Drosophila melanogaster: one gene and its partners. The protein of the gene in region 1 interacts with the protein of each later gene in a pairwise test. Each region holds a gene or a part of one and is shown on either strand. Other genes may lie near its edges.

What was found. The genes of interacting proteins can lie anywhere in the genome.
Region 2: the proteins of CG33655 (region 1) and CG15211 interact in a two-hybrid assay, tested with the Drosophila melanogaster proteins (one large-scale study listed by BioGRID).
Region 3: the proteins of CG33655 (region 1) and Pex14 interact in a two-hybrid assay, tested with the Drosophila melanogaster proteins (one large-scale study listed by BioGRID).

Annotation. Positions count from the first base shown.
Region 1 is NT_033778.4:21,317,265-21,321,725, reverse strand, and holds CG33655 (uncharacterized protein), read left to right. Parts: upstream 1-1,708; 5' UTR 1,709-1,762; coding exon 1,763-1,861; coding exon of another isoform or gene 1,862-1,865; intron 1,866-1,922; coding exon 1,923-2,147; 3' UTR 2,148-2,323; coding exon of another isoform or gene 2,324-3,645; 3' UTR 3,646-3,709; coding exon of another isoform or gene 3,710-3,879; 3' UTR 3,880-3,933; downstream 3,934-4,461. Other genes in the region: CG30394 (uncharacterized protein), read left to right, coding at 1-1,565; CG9485 (uncharacterized protein), read right to left, coding at 2,324-3,645, 3,710-3,879, 3,940-4,117, 4,174-4,461.
Region 2 is NC_004354.4:10,770,768-10,778,583, forward strand, and holds the start of CG15211 (uncharacterized protein), read left to right. Parts: upstream 1-1,773; 5' UTR 1,774-1,859; intron 1,860-2,000; exon of another isoform or gene 2,001-2,030; 5' UTR 2,031-2,231; coding exon 2,232-2,399; intron 2,400-7,193; coding exon 7,194-7,361; intron 7,362-7,443; coding exon 7,444-7,641; 3' UTR 7,642-7,816. Other genes in the region: BTBD9 (BTB (POZ) domain containing 9), read left to right, coding at 1-305.
Region 3 is NT_037436.4:20,776,891-20,780,921, reverse strand, and holds Pex14 (peroxin 14), read right to left. Parts: upstream 2,124-4,031; 5' UTR 1,990-2,123; coding exon 1,879-1,989; intron 1,820-1,878; coding exon 1,517-1,819; intron 1,245-1,516; coding exon 816-1,244; 3' UTR 544-815; downstream 1-543. Other genes in the region: Pex16 (peroxin 16), read left to right, coding at 2,768-2,879, 2,940-3,853.

The DNA of each region.
Region 1 (4,461 bases):
AACAACGCTTTCGATTCATCACTATCTTCATCGTTGTCTTTTCGTTATGCGTGGCTTTGGTTATTCCCTCCGTGGAGCTTATAATTGGCTTGGTGGGTTCCACCATTGGCGTAGCCATTTGTATAATGTTCCCCGCATCCAGTTTTCGAAAAATCATCAAAAAGGAATCTATGGAACGTACGCTTGCCCAGTTTGTATTCGTAAGTGGATTTCTATTGATGATCCTGGGAACGTATGCGAACCTAAGTGCAATTGATGAAAAGAGCTCCGGCCCGGAGTTTGATATGGTTGCCATAGGCACCCCTCTGTATCCCGATGGCCAAGTGCCAGCTGTCGTCGGCGAGCTACCAAAACATTTGGCCAAAGAATCCATTGACAGTGAAAAGAACCTATTGTTAAAGAAACTGGATGTCCAAAATCCAGACAAATTAAAACAAACCGTTGAGGATAAAGTTGTTGATATGCCGGAGGTAGTGCAATCAGCTTCCTCCGACAACCCACCGTTGCCACCACTGCCCATCGATGAAGTCCATGTAGTTCCCATAGATAGTAAAAATTCTGAAACGGATATTAAAAAACTACCAGTAGAAGCCGTAGAAGCAAACCCACCAGAAGCCAAACCACTCGATGTCAACCTTACCGTGGATAAGCCCAAGAATAATCCGCCTGCTGTTGCTGCATCGCTTCCAGATAAACCAAAAATTGGATCGAGCTTGTTATCAGCAAGCAATACAATTGATGGAGCGGCCATCAAGAAGGAGGAGGACGTGGCTGCCGAAGAGCAAAAGGAAAGTAAGGCTAATGCAGATGAGCTACTCAAAACCCAAAAGGAATTAAAGGAGACCAAAAAACTATTGGCGAAAACCGTTGGGGAGCTAAACGAAGAGTTGGCCAAGAAAAATTCATTTAATCAGCCACCTTTGGAGTTACAGAAAGATGAGCCTTTGGATACTGGTGCGAAATTTGCCGAGGAACCGAAGAAGGCTGAAATTAAGCTTAAGGAGTCGCAGCCAGTTGCGGACGAAAAGAAGGAGAGAAGGCGGCAGGCATCGTTAATGGACATACTCACGGAAAATACACATTTGCGCGATGAAAAGGAGGCCCATGCCGGCGTTTTTGAACCTCTATCCTACAAAACCGGAGAGTTACTCAGGAATTCGACCGTAGATAAAGAAGCGCTTATCAAACGATTGCCCATTCCACTAGCCCTAATGGTGAATTCTACTCAGCCGAAATCATCGAATGACTCGGAGATCAAGAAACCCAACCTTGAAGACAATGTAGAGGCCATTCGCCGGGAGCTGCTCAATCTGCGAAGTTCGGCGGATGCGACAGAGCAGCCACCGGCAAGGGTTAAACGTGAGGCCTCAAACGACGAGAACTGCCTACGCCAGCCCAAGCTGGATGAAGTGAATAATAATGTGGCTGCAGCTGCCTTGAGCTTGAACATGGAAAGTATTGGACGCGATCTCAAATCCATCAAAGATGATGACGTCGAGATAGTTACTGAAAACGAATCCTACCAAGCGAGTCCAAATGGAACCCAAACTTCGCTGCAGACGTAATGCGGATAGTTTACAACTATGCAAAGCTTTATGTATATAACCTTTACATGTATTTATTTAGTTTATAAGAAACTGTAGACTAGAAGTATATACAAATTATATACAGTTCATATGACTTGGGAATATTGTGTCAAATTTCTCGTGGAGTTGCTAGCAAAATTGTATGTGAAGCCCAGGTTTTTTGTAATTCCATCAAAATGTCCATCGTCCTTGATGTTATCCAACAAGTTGTGTTGCAGAAAGCTTACGATCTAACATGCGAGGCAGCCATTTTAGCCTTGAGAAAATGTGGCAAAGTGAGTAGGTGTAATATTTTTAAAATAATATTTATATCGCAATGGTTAATTTCTATTTAAGCTGAAAATAGAGGATGGTAAATCGAAAGCAAAGCGTGAAAAGCCTCTACCTCCGGTCAAGCCTATTTCCCAGGAAGCGGTTTCACCAATGAAAGCTCCAACGATTCCCGAGGCTAACACCATTCCAAAATATACGGGACGGGACATGCCTCGAAAGAACTTTGGCTCCATCGATCCCCCCCAATGCTCCTGCATGCGTGTGTGCCGAGATAGTTACTTCTCTTAGACGAAAAAGAACGCTTAAAAACAATTGCAACTTTAATAGAATAGGAATAGCAAAATTTCAAGGGACCTCAGGCATCGAATCTCATTCCATCTTGTATCCGTACAATTATCAAACGTAACACTAATAACAGTTTTTGGTAGCAACTAACAGGTTTGAATATGAGTATTTACGGTGGTTTAGGCCACGTCTGCTCCCAAGGAGTGCAGATCGTACAGGACTTCCAAAATGGCAGCAACACTCCAGGCCTGCGTGCGACAGGAGTCACCGCAGTAGGAGCCATTATCGTTGGTCAACTCGGGCAATCCGCGCCAATGGGATGTCTGTAGCTCTCGGAGATGGGCCCGTAGTATGGCCCAGGTCTCGGCAATGGTCTCGTCCAAATGGCCACACTTTTTGGCGAAGATCAGGCGCGCCCGCAGGTAAAAACCGATGGGCCATACCCACTCCGGCCCCTGGTGGTAGTTTGCGCCATGGGCTACAGTGCAATCGGTGGAGTCATTTGAGTTGTCATAGTTGGCCCTATAGTTCCAGTCCTCGGGATCCATCGTCTTCATGCCCAGCGGTCCCAGAAGATACTTTTTGGCGCGCTCCAGTGCACGCCAGGCATTCTGAGGATTGCACAGGTCGGGAGCCACGGTCAAGGTGATGGGGAAGTTGCATCGCAGCTGGTAGTCCGTCCAACTCTGGGTGGCTCCATAGCTGTCCTTGTAGATAAGCTTCTTGTTGGCCACCGAGCAGGTTTCCGATTCGGATACAAAGAAATACTTGTCAAAGTTGTTCTTGATGCGATCCGCCCACTCCTTGTAGCTCCACTTGGTCACTTCGCCCGATGGACCCTTTCGTTCCACGCCGGTGTACGGGATAACCTCCTTTTCGGCTAGGCTTTGCATAAACCGGAGTACGGCATACTGGAGGCCAACGAGCTCCACGGCTGATCCGTCGCGCGGCGTACTTGGACGTCCCTTGTTTCCGGCCTTCTGTGAGGATCCCATTTTGTCCATCCAAGTGCCGCAGTTGAAGTTATTGCCTCCGAATACAAAGCCAGTCTCCGGGTGAATTCCGATCTGATTGTTAAAGCCCTGGTCCACCATGTGCGCATCGATCTCATAGCCTGCATTGCGCTCCCTATACTGCAAGCCCTGAAAATGCACCTGCAGTGCCTCCTGCATCACGTCGAAGAGAAGTTGGTCGAAGGCACCTGGAGCATGGGCATCGGCATCGTCGTACGGAAATATGCGGGACACCTTGTCCTTCAGGATCTCGGCACCCTTGGGGGCATCCTCCACATACTGCTTGATGCAGTACATCCACCACCAGATAGCATCGCGGCAGTTGAATCTCGGCTTGCTGCCGCTGTCCAAAAGATTCGGAATGAGTCCGTGTCGAAGGGTCTGACCAAATCCAATGATGATGAAGCGAGCCTCGTTGTAACGGCCAGTGAGGAACATGGAGCCACGCAGAGCGATGAAGGTATCACGGCCCCAGCACCGCATATAGCCTACATAAATGGTTGAATATTCCATTATTCCGTTTCGATTGTTAAATATAATAGATAAACTCACCCGTTGAGAAATGCGGCAGACCAGCAGATAGAGTCACACATTGCTTTGGAGGCTTGGGTGGACTTAGAGCAGGACTGAATCCCGGCAGATTGGCCGACTTGCAAACGGAGAGGAACTGCAACGTGGACAGGGCCAGGGATTGTGGGAAACTGTGGCCATTCTTAATGAAGCTGTAAAAATTAAAGACTTAATAAAAACTCCATGAATGCAGTCGGCTCTAATGGACATACTCTGGCATTAGTTCGTTGACCTGGTTGATGAGCACATTGTAAACCCCGCTGACAATGGCATCAAAGTAGCAGGGTATGAGGTAGCGTGGAATATTCTTCAGTGGCTCAAAGGTAGCTTTGAACCAGGCGGAGAGTGGTTTCAGGTCTTCATAACTAGTTAGGCGATCAGAAATGTAATCTGAAAAGAATTATGTTGTAAAGTAACTACATAAATCTCTATCTTTACAAACTTACCCATCATCCAGTTTCCGTCGCGCAGATTGTTACAAAGCGGATGTCCCAAGTCATTTTTAGGCGAAATCTCCGTCAACAGGGAAATGAATCCTTGCAATCCGCAGTAAACGATCTTTCCAAAGTTGGGAATGTCGTAGGCGGTGCCACCTTTGCCAAGATCCCTCTCCTCATCATCGCAGCTGAAAAGGGCACCACTAAGTGCCACCAGATCCAACTTGGAGACGATAGCCTGCAGCTGGGAATACTCCTCGCCAGATCCAATACGCAGGGCAGCCGAGATTTTCTGGA
Region 2 (7,816 bases), on another chromosome or scaffold:
GCGTTTTAAGGTCCATCCACTGGCCGCCACAGACAAGGGAAGTGGCCGTTGCCCCACTCACTCCGCCAGCACTCTCCCCGCCCGGCACGCCAGCACTTCCGGCTCCTCTGACCCCGGCAACCTCGTCGCCGCATAACAACCATGAACAAAATCAGCCAAGTAATATCAGTGCAGACGCAAGCCACCACACCAGTCCAAGTTCAAGGAGCAACCCCAGTCCCAGCCTAAGTAGGAGCAGAAGCCAGAGTGCGGAGTTGGAGCCAGTGCCGCCATTGGTTGAGCTTGACACCAGGGAGACGCTCTGAGCTGATCGCCGCTGCGGCCGATAATGTTTTGTACTTGAAATACTCCTGTGGTCTGTTAGCTGTTAGTCTCCGCGCTTAGTTATATTTTGCAGACCGTGCTGCTCTTGTTATCTAGTCCTTCCCAGTGCCCCAATGCTTGGTGGTTCCAAAACCTGTGCATTGCATATTGGTTTTGCGTTATTACCTTCGTTATATACTATATGTATATACATATATATATATATAGATATATGTTTTTATAATTTTATTGTGATCCAAAAATAATTCCTTATGTTTGCAAGGCAGCAGAGTTATTTATATAAGCAATATAACTGAATTCTATGCACACACACACCCACCCACACACACACCACACACACACACCACACACACACACACATGTTTAACGCGAACTCGAATGCGATTTCCGAGCAGCTGAACCAAAATTGTATACGATATCCGATCGCATAGTATAAATCTGTACTGTCTAGCCTTATGTCCGGTCCATGTCCTTGTCCAAATCAATCCATTTGATCCGCAACTCGTAGTCTTTAGGCTCATCGAGCGGCCCAAAAATTAGGCTCTATTTATTAGGCAAATTTTGTCATAGTTTGTATTGCACGCAAATAAAAGCTAACCAAAAAAATGAAAACACCGCTTATTGTTTCACTTGCAAACCAATCGGTTTCTTATAAAATTTTTAAAGTCCCTCACACATTTCAACCACGAATTGTGCCGTGTGTGACCACTGTGCACCACACATGCCACCCACTGTTGCCCCAACATCCACAACACGCTCCACTGTTTTGAAATTCCGATCAGAGGCGACCCACGGCCGTGCTGCAGCGGCAGCCATAAAAGTCGAATCAGAACGTTAAACCAGTTGCGACGCACAGTGGGCGTTGGGAAGAGAGAGAGGGACGCCGATCCAGCGAGCGAATCAGAAAGAGATGGCGAAATGCAGTGCTAGCCAAACGGGAATTTGTGGGTTCTTGAAGAAAACTAAAAAAAAAAGAAAATATTACTCATACGCCGCGTTGTCTACATGATTTAATAATATATATTGCATATTTTGTACGGATGGTTTTAATAAAATGTAAATGTTTTATTGAGAAATCTAGACAACTGTATTTATTTAATAGTTTTACTTTTATTTTGGAATGAACACAATCACACAATACGGTCAATCTGGCCCACTGTGCCGATTATAACAGTTAGCGGCGCAGGCGCAACAAACTAGTTTGCCCCACAAGCAGCGGGGAGTGGCAACTAAGGGGGGTGGGGGGTGGTTCTATTTAGGGCGTTGCAGGGGCGTCGTCAAAGGGCGCGCGCAACTAAATAGCCAACTGACTAACTAACTAACTGGGAGAGCGCGAATGTGAGTGTAAGTCCGAGTGGGAGTGGGAGAGCGAGCGTGAGTGCGCTAGTGTGGAGCGGAGCGGCGTGCGGTTAACCGTTAGCCTGCAGCGGCGGCAAGTTCAGCTCGCAGTTCAGTTCAGTCGACCAGCGGCCGCCGTGGACAAAGCAACGTAACGCCAAAGCAATCGCAGCGCAGCTCATGGATATATAGCTACAGTTAACTACCAGATACTAAACTACACACATTTCACCACATACCCAAATATACCCACCACACGCGGCATATATCTCTATATATATATTTGAGAATTAGAGGCGTGGGGGTTTAGGGGGTGGGGTGGTAACTCGCGCGAGGGCGTCACACGCGTTCATATACATCAGATATAGATATATAGGGTAGCTGCCGATCGACCAGCGAACATATAGAAAGCGGTGGTTATTTTTCTCATCTTATTTTATTGTGACAAAAATCGCGACAAGTGTTTAAAAATAGTTGTTGTGCCCAGCTAATAAAGTAAACTTGCCCGCCAAACTGAAACTGAAACTGAAACTGAAACTAAGCCAAGCCAAACTATAAACAGCAACAATATGGTCGAGACCGTTGTCAATATCGAGCGCACAACAACAACAACGACGAACGGACCGCCAGGTGGAGCGAACCCGACCGTTGGCAGCGGTGGCGGCTTCTGGAGCGCCATTCGCCTCAACATCGACTATTTCCGCACCATACCGGGCATCATCAAAATTGTGGAGTTTGTGAGTACATACAACTAGCTGAGATATATCACTACTATATTTTTATAATTCATTATAAAACAAATGAAAATCTAATACTTAATATTGCAACATATGATATTTCGAAACTATTGAATACGATCCACTTGAGTAGAAGTCTTTTAAAAACTGAAACCAAAAACTGGGCCAAATTTCCAAACATATCAAAATTATGTACATTACATGTTTCTAAACTCTTAGATTTAAAATATGCATAAATGTCGGTTTAAATAGAACTTAGGAATGCGATTATGTTGAAAAAGTACCATAATGTACATACATTATTTTGTGGAATGCTAAATTCAGACATAAGTTTCCGAATTTGGCTGTTATCGTATTTCCTCGAAACTGATAGAGCCTTCGAAACATAAAGTTTCAGAGGGAAATATTAAAATATACGTTGGATAATTGTTGTAGAGAAAAGTTAGAATTCCTCATAGCACTCTTATCGTCATAAATTGAACGGTTTTATCTAGAGTTTGCCTTCCGCCACCATTCTTTATCGAGATATCTCGAGACTTAAGAAACCCTAGAGCCTCGATGTGTACTCAATTACACAAATATGTATACAATATGCCCGACAACAAGTGTGTTGTGCACTTGCCCCTTTTGTGTGTACATATGTCAGGATCTCATTAGACTTACGACGGATAAGATAGGGGTAGACAAGTTGTAGGAACTGCAAACATGTGAGCTCCATGGCCATGTGGTCAACTCATAGCCCTCTTCTTGTATTCCACAGACGTTAAACACTTAACGCATTTGGCCTGGTATTCGAAGCTATGTATGATCTATCTTTTTTCCCACAAATCCGCAGCAAAATGAAGTTAAAGTGTGGGCGATGCAATCGGTATGCGACGCCAACACAAGGTACTCGCAATTATATGAGTGGGCACTGGGGTAACTCAACTACCGCTCGGATGGATCACCTGCTCAGGTGTAGAAAGTTTTCAGGCAAAAATTTCTCTATTCTCAATGGGCCAACGCTTGGTGGGCACAAGGTCAAGGGATAACGACAAGTGCTTGGGACCCACATGAAAAATGCATTATTAAGCGCTCGTCAGTTGTTACGGAGAAAATCAATAGCGGATAAATGGGAGGAGTGCTGGGTGCTTCGATGATATGATTACCGTCACAATAAGCTGTCGTTTATTAACTTATATATATTGATTTTCTGTTCTGAAAATCGGCTATTATCAGGCGACTAAGCTAGTTTAGCTGACGGCTGACGAAGTAATTTGCGGATGTTCTGGTAGGACTTATTTCCAATTCATATACTAATCTGACCAAAAAAGGAAAGCAAATACTTGTCATTCAAATATGCTTTGATTTCACCAATGGCTAGTTAATTTTCTTTTTCGGTTAGCGGTGTGCCTGTCGATTGGGATATTTTTGTGGCAACTAATCTTATCGGTACCCTTAAGCGATAGTCTGCTGATAGTCGTCTCAGCGCAGTGTGAAATATGTAAAAGTGCTCCACTTGAGAGTTGCCACAAAAACAGGGCCGTAATTGCAGCTGCTCGTTTCCCAAATGCCAATTGATAGGTATTAAGCCCGTTAAATAAATAATTCAAATTGGGCCAAATGGCGGGAAACTTGACCACTTTCATGGCTATCTATTTTAAGACTTTTGTTTCTTGAGCTTAACTAAATTATATTAGATTATTGGTACTATAGTTCGAATTTGACTGCAGTTTTGACTGTTTTCACCGATTGTGACTCATTTCGAACAATTCTGCGAATATATTGAGTGCCATAGCTAATCGCTCGTTACTCATACGCACCGTTATCCGAACAAAGTGGACGATAATGTGGCGACCACCTGTTTGCGAGCGGAGAGGAGCAGACCGACGATATTTTCGGTAGCCATGCTCCTGCTGATAAGCCAATCGATTCCTGACACCTGACTGCCGATCGTTAATTTGCCCACGGACCATTACACATACTCATCCGCCCAGTGGTCCCAAATCATACCAACAACAACAACAACAACAACAAAGCCCCCGAAATATAACGCTTCTTTCGTATCTTATCGTTGGCAATTAGCATTTTGGACCCAGCATTGCCTCAATTTACTTACCATACATATTCACGCGATGCCCCAAGCATATATGCATTCCATGGCCAAGTGTGCTCTATATACATATATACGTACATACACATCGGAATATCTACGAGTATATGCAAATTCGGAAAGAGAACGATTTATTATTAAGTTTTGTTGGTCGCGGTCCCTGCCGTTCGAGAATATTTTTTTTATAATAGCCTAATTACGTAAGACGTGTATTTTGGAAGCTGCCGACGGCATTCTTATTGTTTGGCATTGTAGCATTGTCGTGGATTTTAATTTTAATACGAATGTTTTAGCCAAAAGCGGAAATTATGACACAAATACGGGGTGTCATTCAAGAAATTGTTAACCACAAAAATGCGGGGGAGGCGAAGAGATCTGGGGAATTCGAGCCGAAAGTCACTTTAGACAGATGCTGGCGTTTGTTGGCGGTTTGTTGATGAAAATGCGATCGATCGTTGTGGCATCATGTACAGTGCATGCCATAAACGTAGGCTGTTTGGCTTGTAGCCGAAAGCAGTTAACTTAAACTATCGGAAATATAAATTGTATATTGCTACTATCTTATGGGCGCACTTTTTCTGAAACCTCAAATCTTATCCCTTTTCAGTTATAAGTTTCAGTTAGCGTCTTGCCTTACAGCTGCGAAACGGACTGCACTAAGTGCACATGGCTATGCAAATACGTGTGTGTTTGCAAACTGTGTGCTTGGGTACATTTTAGGTAATTGACGCTGACTAAGTGTACGGCGCTCAGGAAAGTGAGCTCATCTTTGAAGCTCCGTCTTGGCCCTGTTAACAGATTGTTAGCCAACAAAAGGGAGGGCATACATATGTATGTATACAATTCAAGGGCATTGATCCTTCTATTAGATAATCCAGTTATGGTTGTCCATTAACTTCGAACTATATATATATTTGTACCACCACAATTGGAATATTTGTTAAACATTGCGAGGATATTAGCTTACAGGTATTGTTTAAACTTTAAGCTTTCGAAGAAAGAACATTATTTATACATATGTAGTTGGAAGTTTGTAATCTAACGATCTTGTTGTTTATGTGCGACCACTAGAATTTCTGTGGCTTCCATTGAACTTCAGACGAGGCAGACGCGGCTAGGAACCGTAGACCGTATAATCGGAGGCCAAGAACTCGATCCATTTCAGTGGCGTTTCGCGTCATTGAATTTCGCTCGAAAAGTAAATAATTATGTTGCTGCCCCGATCGATATACCCAGATGCACCCAACTCTCTACGCAGTTTTTCATGCTCCACAAGGCAATTTGATCGTTGCCATGGAACTAAAGATTATGGTTATATGTATATGGTTATAAGAACTTTCCAACCGTGCACATAAGAACTGATTAACACATACAAATGTGTATATATATGCCAATCTTGTCGTTATATATACCTTATGTATGCATACGCAGAAGTAAAAATAAAAATAAAAAGCCCGCCATAAATTATGCTTAGAAAAGATAAAATTCGTATAATTCCCAGACGAATTTCTCTCTGGCTCTTTTATTTTTGAAAAGTGACGCACAACATTTGTGGATCACAAGTGCGAGGCTAAAAAAAAAAGTATATAAGTCAAATGAAGAATACGAACACCATTTGGAAAATGCATGAATCCAAGATCCAAGATCAACAAATCTCAACAAATCGCTGACAGTTCAATCAACCTTTGATATGCGGCTGCTGTGCAGTTAATTGTTTACCAGATAGCAAATAAGAAACACACACAAAAAAAAAAACAAAGGGGACAACAACAAGATGTTGCTATCAACAGGTCGCTTTTGGCCTGGGCTACAACTTTCAGCTTTCACTTTTCGTGTACCTTTTGTTTTAGCCAAAAACACAATGCTCAAGTCGACTGACTGCGCACACCTGTTTGATTTCTTATTTTGTTGCTGTGTCGCCAAAAGCTTATTGCCATTTAATTGCCTAAAACAACCACGAATGTGTGTCATCATCGGCACCTGTCATCCAGCTTTATGATCTTAGTGTTCCTAACTCACGAAATCGCCCTGCGAATTTGCTTGAAATGCGATAAGGTTCTCGAAAATGACTTACAGATAGTTCAGTATACATATATTAACAAGTTATTGGTAATATATACTGAGTCATTCATAGATACGGGATACTGTTACCTCAGTTTGTTTGAAATATGACATAAACTTAAGTTAAGTTGAGTAAAATGGAGTACCTAATTGTTTCTGAGCCATTTTACTACAAGCACATTTCCAAATAAATCTGAGCTACATATGTATCTATGTACATATGTATCTATGTATCTGTGCAGTGGCATTCTTTGAATTCACCGCTTAATTAGCTGGAGAACAAGGCGACATTCTGAGCACAGCCTCTAATTTTTCATGGCGTGCATTCAATTGAAGGTGACATCACGACATGCTCACTCCAGATTCGAAATCACGACCTTGAAGAGGCGCCTCTCAATTGGAGGAAGATCACGATCTGGGTGACTATACATATATGTATTACAACTAATAATATAAGATGCTATGCAATCTATACATCTCAAATATGCATTCAACTTTACCCTAAATAGACATTGCATAAAACTGCACAATTACGATTTAATGCGACAGATGGCGCTTGAATCTTAAAACTACTCGTATATTATTGCTTCTACTGCGACCTTGTACACTTACACATTTACCCATCTTTTTATACACACCAGGTGCTGGGCATCATCTGCATGGCCCTGGCAGCTCCTCCACTGGCCTCGGCCACCTCGTTCTTCATGTTCGTCATCGTCATCTCGTTCATCATCAACATTCTGCTGATCGCCGCCTATTTCCTGGGCATTCGCGAGGCCCTCAACGTGGCCGTCAACTGGATATTCTCGGTGAGTGACAAATGGCAACTAACTGCTCTGGATCATTAGTATGAACTAACCCACCCAACTGCTACTTTGTTTTGCCCAACAGGAGCTGATCACCACCGCTGTGCTGACGCTGCTGTACTTCATCGGATTCATCGTCCAGCTGGCCAGATGGTCGGATGCCACGGGCAAGGGTTCCGGTTCGAATACCGCCGCCGGTGTCTTTGGACTCTTCAATTTCCTGGCCTACGCGGCGGGCACGTACTTCCTGTTCCTGGCCCACAGGTCCGGGGCTACCCACTAAGTGCAGCCAACTCAGTGACTGGATCTTAGTCTAGAGTTATTTCTAATTGTTTACAGAATAAGTGCAGATCGAGTACTTGTAATTTTGCCTCTTTTTTTTGTACTTTTGTTTTTTGTTGTTAATTAACGTATGCAGCAGATTGACAATGGAAAGCGACATGGCTTTCTGTTTTTAA
Region 3 (4,031 bases), on another chromosome or scaffold:
TGTTCTCTATCCTTGTTTCAGGGTATTTCGCAATGGTTTGTCCATTCACAAAACGAAGTGAGAAATAAAGAACACATTCATGTGAACTGTGAAGCCCTTAACAATCGTTTGTGAGAATATTAACTTACTAGAATACATTAACTTTTACGAAAATGGCAAACAATTATTTGAATACTAAATTATCGTATGTACAAATCGATAACTAACGTAAGTAGTGAAGGAAATTTAATGAAGGGAATGCGCAGAGAACCAAATTTGTAATTGAAACAAAACCATAACTAGGCACCGCACAATAAATAAATAATTTAAATCCGTTAAGGATCTGGGTGGAGTCTTCAAGGAGCTTGTAGGCAAAACCTCGAGGTGCTCCGCCCGGCATAATCTTAAATCAAACCTAAGGGAATTTAGCCAATTTATAGAAAGTAGCACTCGGCAAAATTTTTAGAATCCAATTATCGTCTAAGTCGAAATTTATTGTCTAAACCGATATGCTATCCCCACCCCGTATGTACCGATAAACAAAAAACTACACAAAGCATTTTTGCGCTTAATTAAACAGTTTCTTTCAATTCAAACCTGTTATTATGTAAACTTTTTATTATTACATTGTATAGACATCGTATCGCATAAGTGTGTATATGTGAGTGTGTGTATGTACTTTTGGATATGGATTAGCTGTTGACTATAAAGAAACCTTAAATGCTATAAACGCAAAGAAAAAAAACCAAAAGTCTTGAAGGCATTTAACGGGGAAACTCAATTTACAGCGTAACTATATACTACGTCTATATAGCCAGCCTCGTATTCTGATTGCATTACATGATCTCCAAGCTGGAGTCACTATTCTTGGTGACCACCTCTGTCTCCGACGAGCCAGACCCGGATCCAGCATCATCGCCCTTCTCGTTGTCGTCCGACCCGCTGTGCCGGTGATGGTGATGCGGTGAGCCGGCCAATTGCCAGGCGGGAATGGATGGCACTGCGATCGGAGCCACAGGGCCGGCGAACTGTTTTCGGTTCAAAAGCAGGCCCTTAATGGCATCCAGATCGCTACGGAAGTTACTAAATTCGCGGTTCAGCTGCTGGGCGTGTTCCCTTTGCTGTGTGGTGATCAGATCCCTGACCGCCAAAATCTCCTTGTTGAGGTCGTTGGTGCGGGTCTCTACCTTCTTGTCTATGTCGTCCAGGACTTCATCGACCGCCTTCTTCTTGGACTTGCCGAACAGGTAGGGCGCAATGTATTGCTGAAATTATACGGGTTTTAGAAGTTATTAGCAATCATGGACTTTGGACTGGTGGACCACTTAAAACTTATTTATGCGTCCTAACACTTTTACAAAATGTGTTAAATACTAAGTAAATTCAACGTCGTCTGGTAAAAGTGTCATCAAATATATGTGTAATGTATCTAAGCCTTAGACAAGATGGCGATCTTTAAATTCGCACTCGAGTTGGTGGAGTAAATATAATAAATCTTTTTAAAAGACCCCGAAATAGAGATCCCACTGCATCTCACCTTCCAGAAGATGTAGACTGCGTAGACGACTCCGCTGAACAGGGCTGCCGAATGGATGATTTCCCTGATCCGGCCCAAGACAGTCGGCTGCGGCTGCAGCGCGTGCAATTGGGATCCAATGCTAATGACGGTGTTCGGATTCGGATTGGGCTTGTTGGGGTCTTGGGTGAAAACGCCGGCCCGTTCACAGGCCAGCTGAATTTCGTGAGCGGTGAGACCTTTGGACCGTAGGAACTGCTGCTTCTGGATAAGTGTCGTGTGGCGCACCTTGGTGTTTTGTAGAAAACTGACTGCAGTGGTTATCTGCGGCGAATAGTCGGATTATAGATTAGGCAAACTTGAAGGGGTTGAACAAATATTACCAGCGATTCTCGAGGCAATTGCTCATCTACGCCGGCCTCGACATCGTTCTGCACCGAGGTAGCCGTCGCCATGACGGTGGTGTCCCCAGTGTCCGTGTTGTTGCTGGACATCTGTATATCGACTCTTAATTCAATCTTGCCTAGCTAATACACACGAAAACGGAGTGAATCCGAATTCACGAGCAATTCGATTACAAAGTGCACAAAAACAAAAGTGTGACCAAAGACTTTGCTGCTCTCGAAATTACTAATGCATTAGCGTTTCTAGGGTTATTATGTATAACGTTAAGGTAATTTGTAACGTAATAAAGATTTGAACTTGGAAAAATGTTTTTACCGAAAAATTTGGTAAGAAATGTTTCTATTATAAAGAACATAGTACCTGGGCTAAAATTTTAAATGCATAATATACCCAATAAAAATATACTGCAGTATAAAGAATCAGGAAACTTGAATTAAGATGCCGAGACTAAACAAGCAAATCTTTACATTGAAGAACATTAAAAGGGGCTATGAAAGGTTGGTGGCAGATATGCCAAATGTGGTTCTTACAAATTGTGGGTCCTTAATTATTAGTTTCTTTTTCTATGACGTGTAAGCACCAATGTGGTAAAATTTGAAAGTGTAATGGCGATAAGCTCGTGACACTGGTATTTGGTATTTATTTTTGTACCAATTTTATTAATCCAAAGCGTTTAATCAACGCTCTCCGTGCTTGCATTCATATATGTATTCATTTTGCGTCACCTTCTATTTTGTGTTGCATGAAAGCACTAACGCCTTGTTCAAAACGCCAGAACACCACAACTGCACCGATTTGATTACCTGTAGACCGAAACACCTCATTATTTTTATTATTTGGAGGAACAGACAATATTTTCCGGATATAATGGACACTCTGAAGGGCATGCTGAAGGCGTACGAGGCGTGGGTGGGCAAAAACCCCGACGTGGTGGGGGATTTTGAGACCACAGCCAAGTGGGTATCCTACTTTATAGCAGGTAAAGTGAACTCCTTGCTTACATAGAGCCTACAGACTCATCTCATTGGCCGGCTTCCAGGTCGCATTTCCTCATCAAATGTGGTCAGTGAGCTGGTATATACACTGTCAAACATGCTGGTGTTCTACAACGACCGGATCATCGAAAAGGCACGCAATTCCGAGGAGAATTCGGTGATCCACCTGCAATCGAAACTTTGCTACCGTCTAAAGGTCACGTTGACGACGCTCGAATATAGCGAGGTTTTCATCGAGATATCAGCCCGTCGGCTTTTCGGTCAATCCGGCAAGTGGCTGGTGATAGCGCTAATACAGGCCTTCAAGGCAGCGGGCCGTTTCTTTATCTTGAAACACTCAACCTCGGATATAATCACCTCACCGCCCATCGCCGCACTGAATCGAAGGGCCAAACAGAGGAAGAATTCGGGGGATGGTGTGGCCTCCTCCACGAACGATTTATTGCAGTCCCAGCACTCCATTACCTTCCAATTGAAGCGATCTGGCCGTGTGATTCGTAAAGTGGAGGGTGCTCCTCCCCTGCAATACCGCGACTTCAAGCTTCATATAGACAACAATGAAGCGGCGAAGACGCAAATTCCGAGGAAACTCCTGCAAGCAGAATACCTGTATATATCGAAGCCACTAATCCACCTGGTCGCCATGGGGCTGTTCGGCCGGAGAAGTTGGAAGCAATATATGGTAGCATTATCCATTGATTTGTATAGCATTCACCTCTACCGCCAGCATCGCGACCTAATGTCCAAGCAACAAAAACTGGAGCTGAGCAGGCGATGCATAAACATCATGTACTTCCTGGTCCGATCGCCGTTCTATGACAGCTTCACCAAATCCAGACTGGAGCGGATCCTCGACTTTGTGGCCACAAGTGTGCCCATTGCTAAGGTGGTTGCCAAACCCCTTAAAGATTACATTCCCACGTGGCAAAGCACTTACTTCTATCTGTGGTCCACTTAGGCATTTCAGGTAGAGCGTTAGTATTCCCCTAGGCTAAGTTTTAAAGTTACAGGTGTGGACGCATTCGGAGTGTTGAGGGTGGGTTGAGTTTTGGTCCTTGAAAAGTTGTTTGCACAATAAAACGATGGAGTAATTTTCGATATGTTTATAGCCAACTTTCATATTCCTTGAATTGACC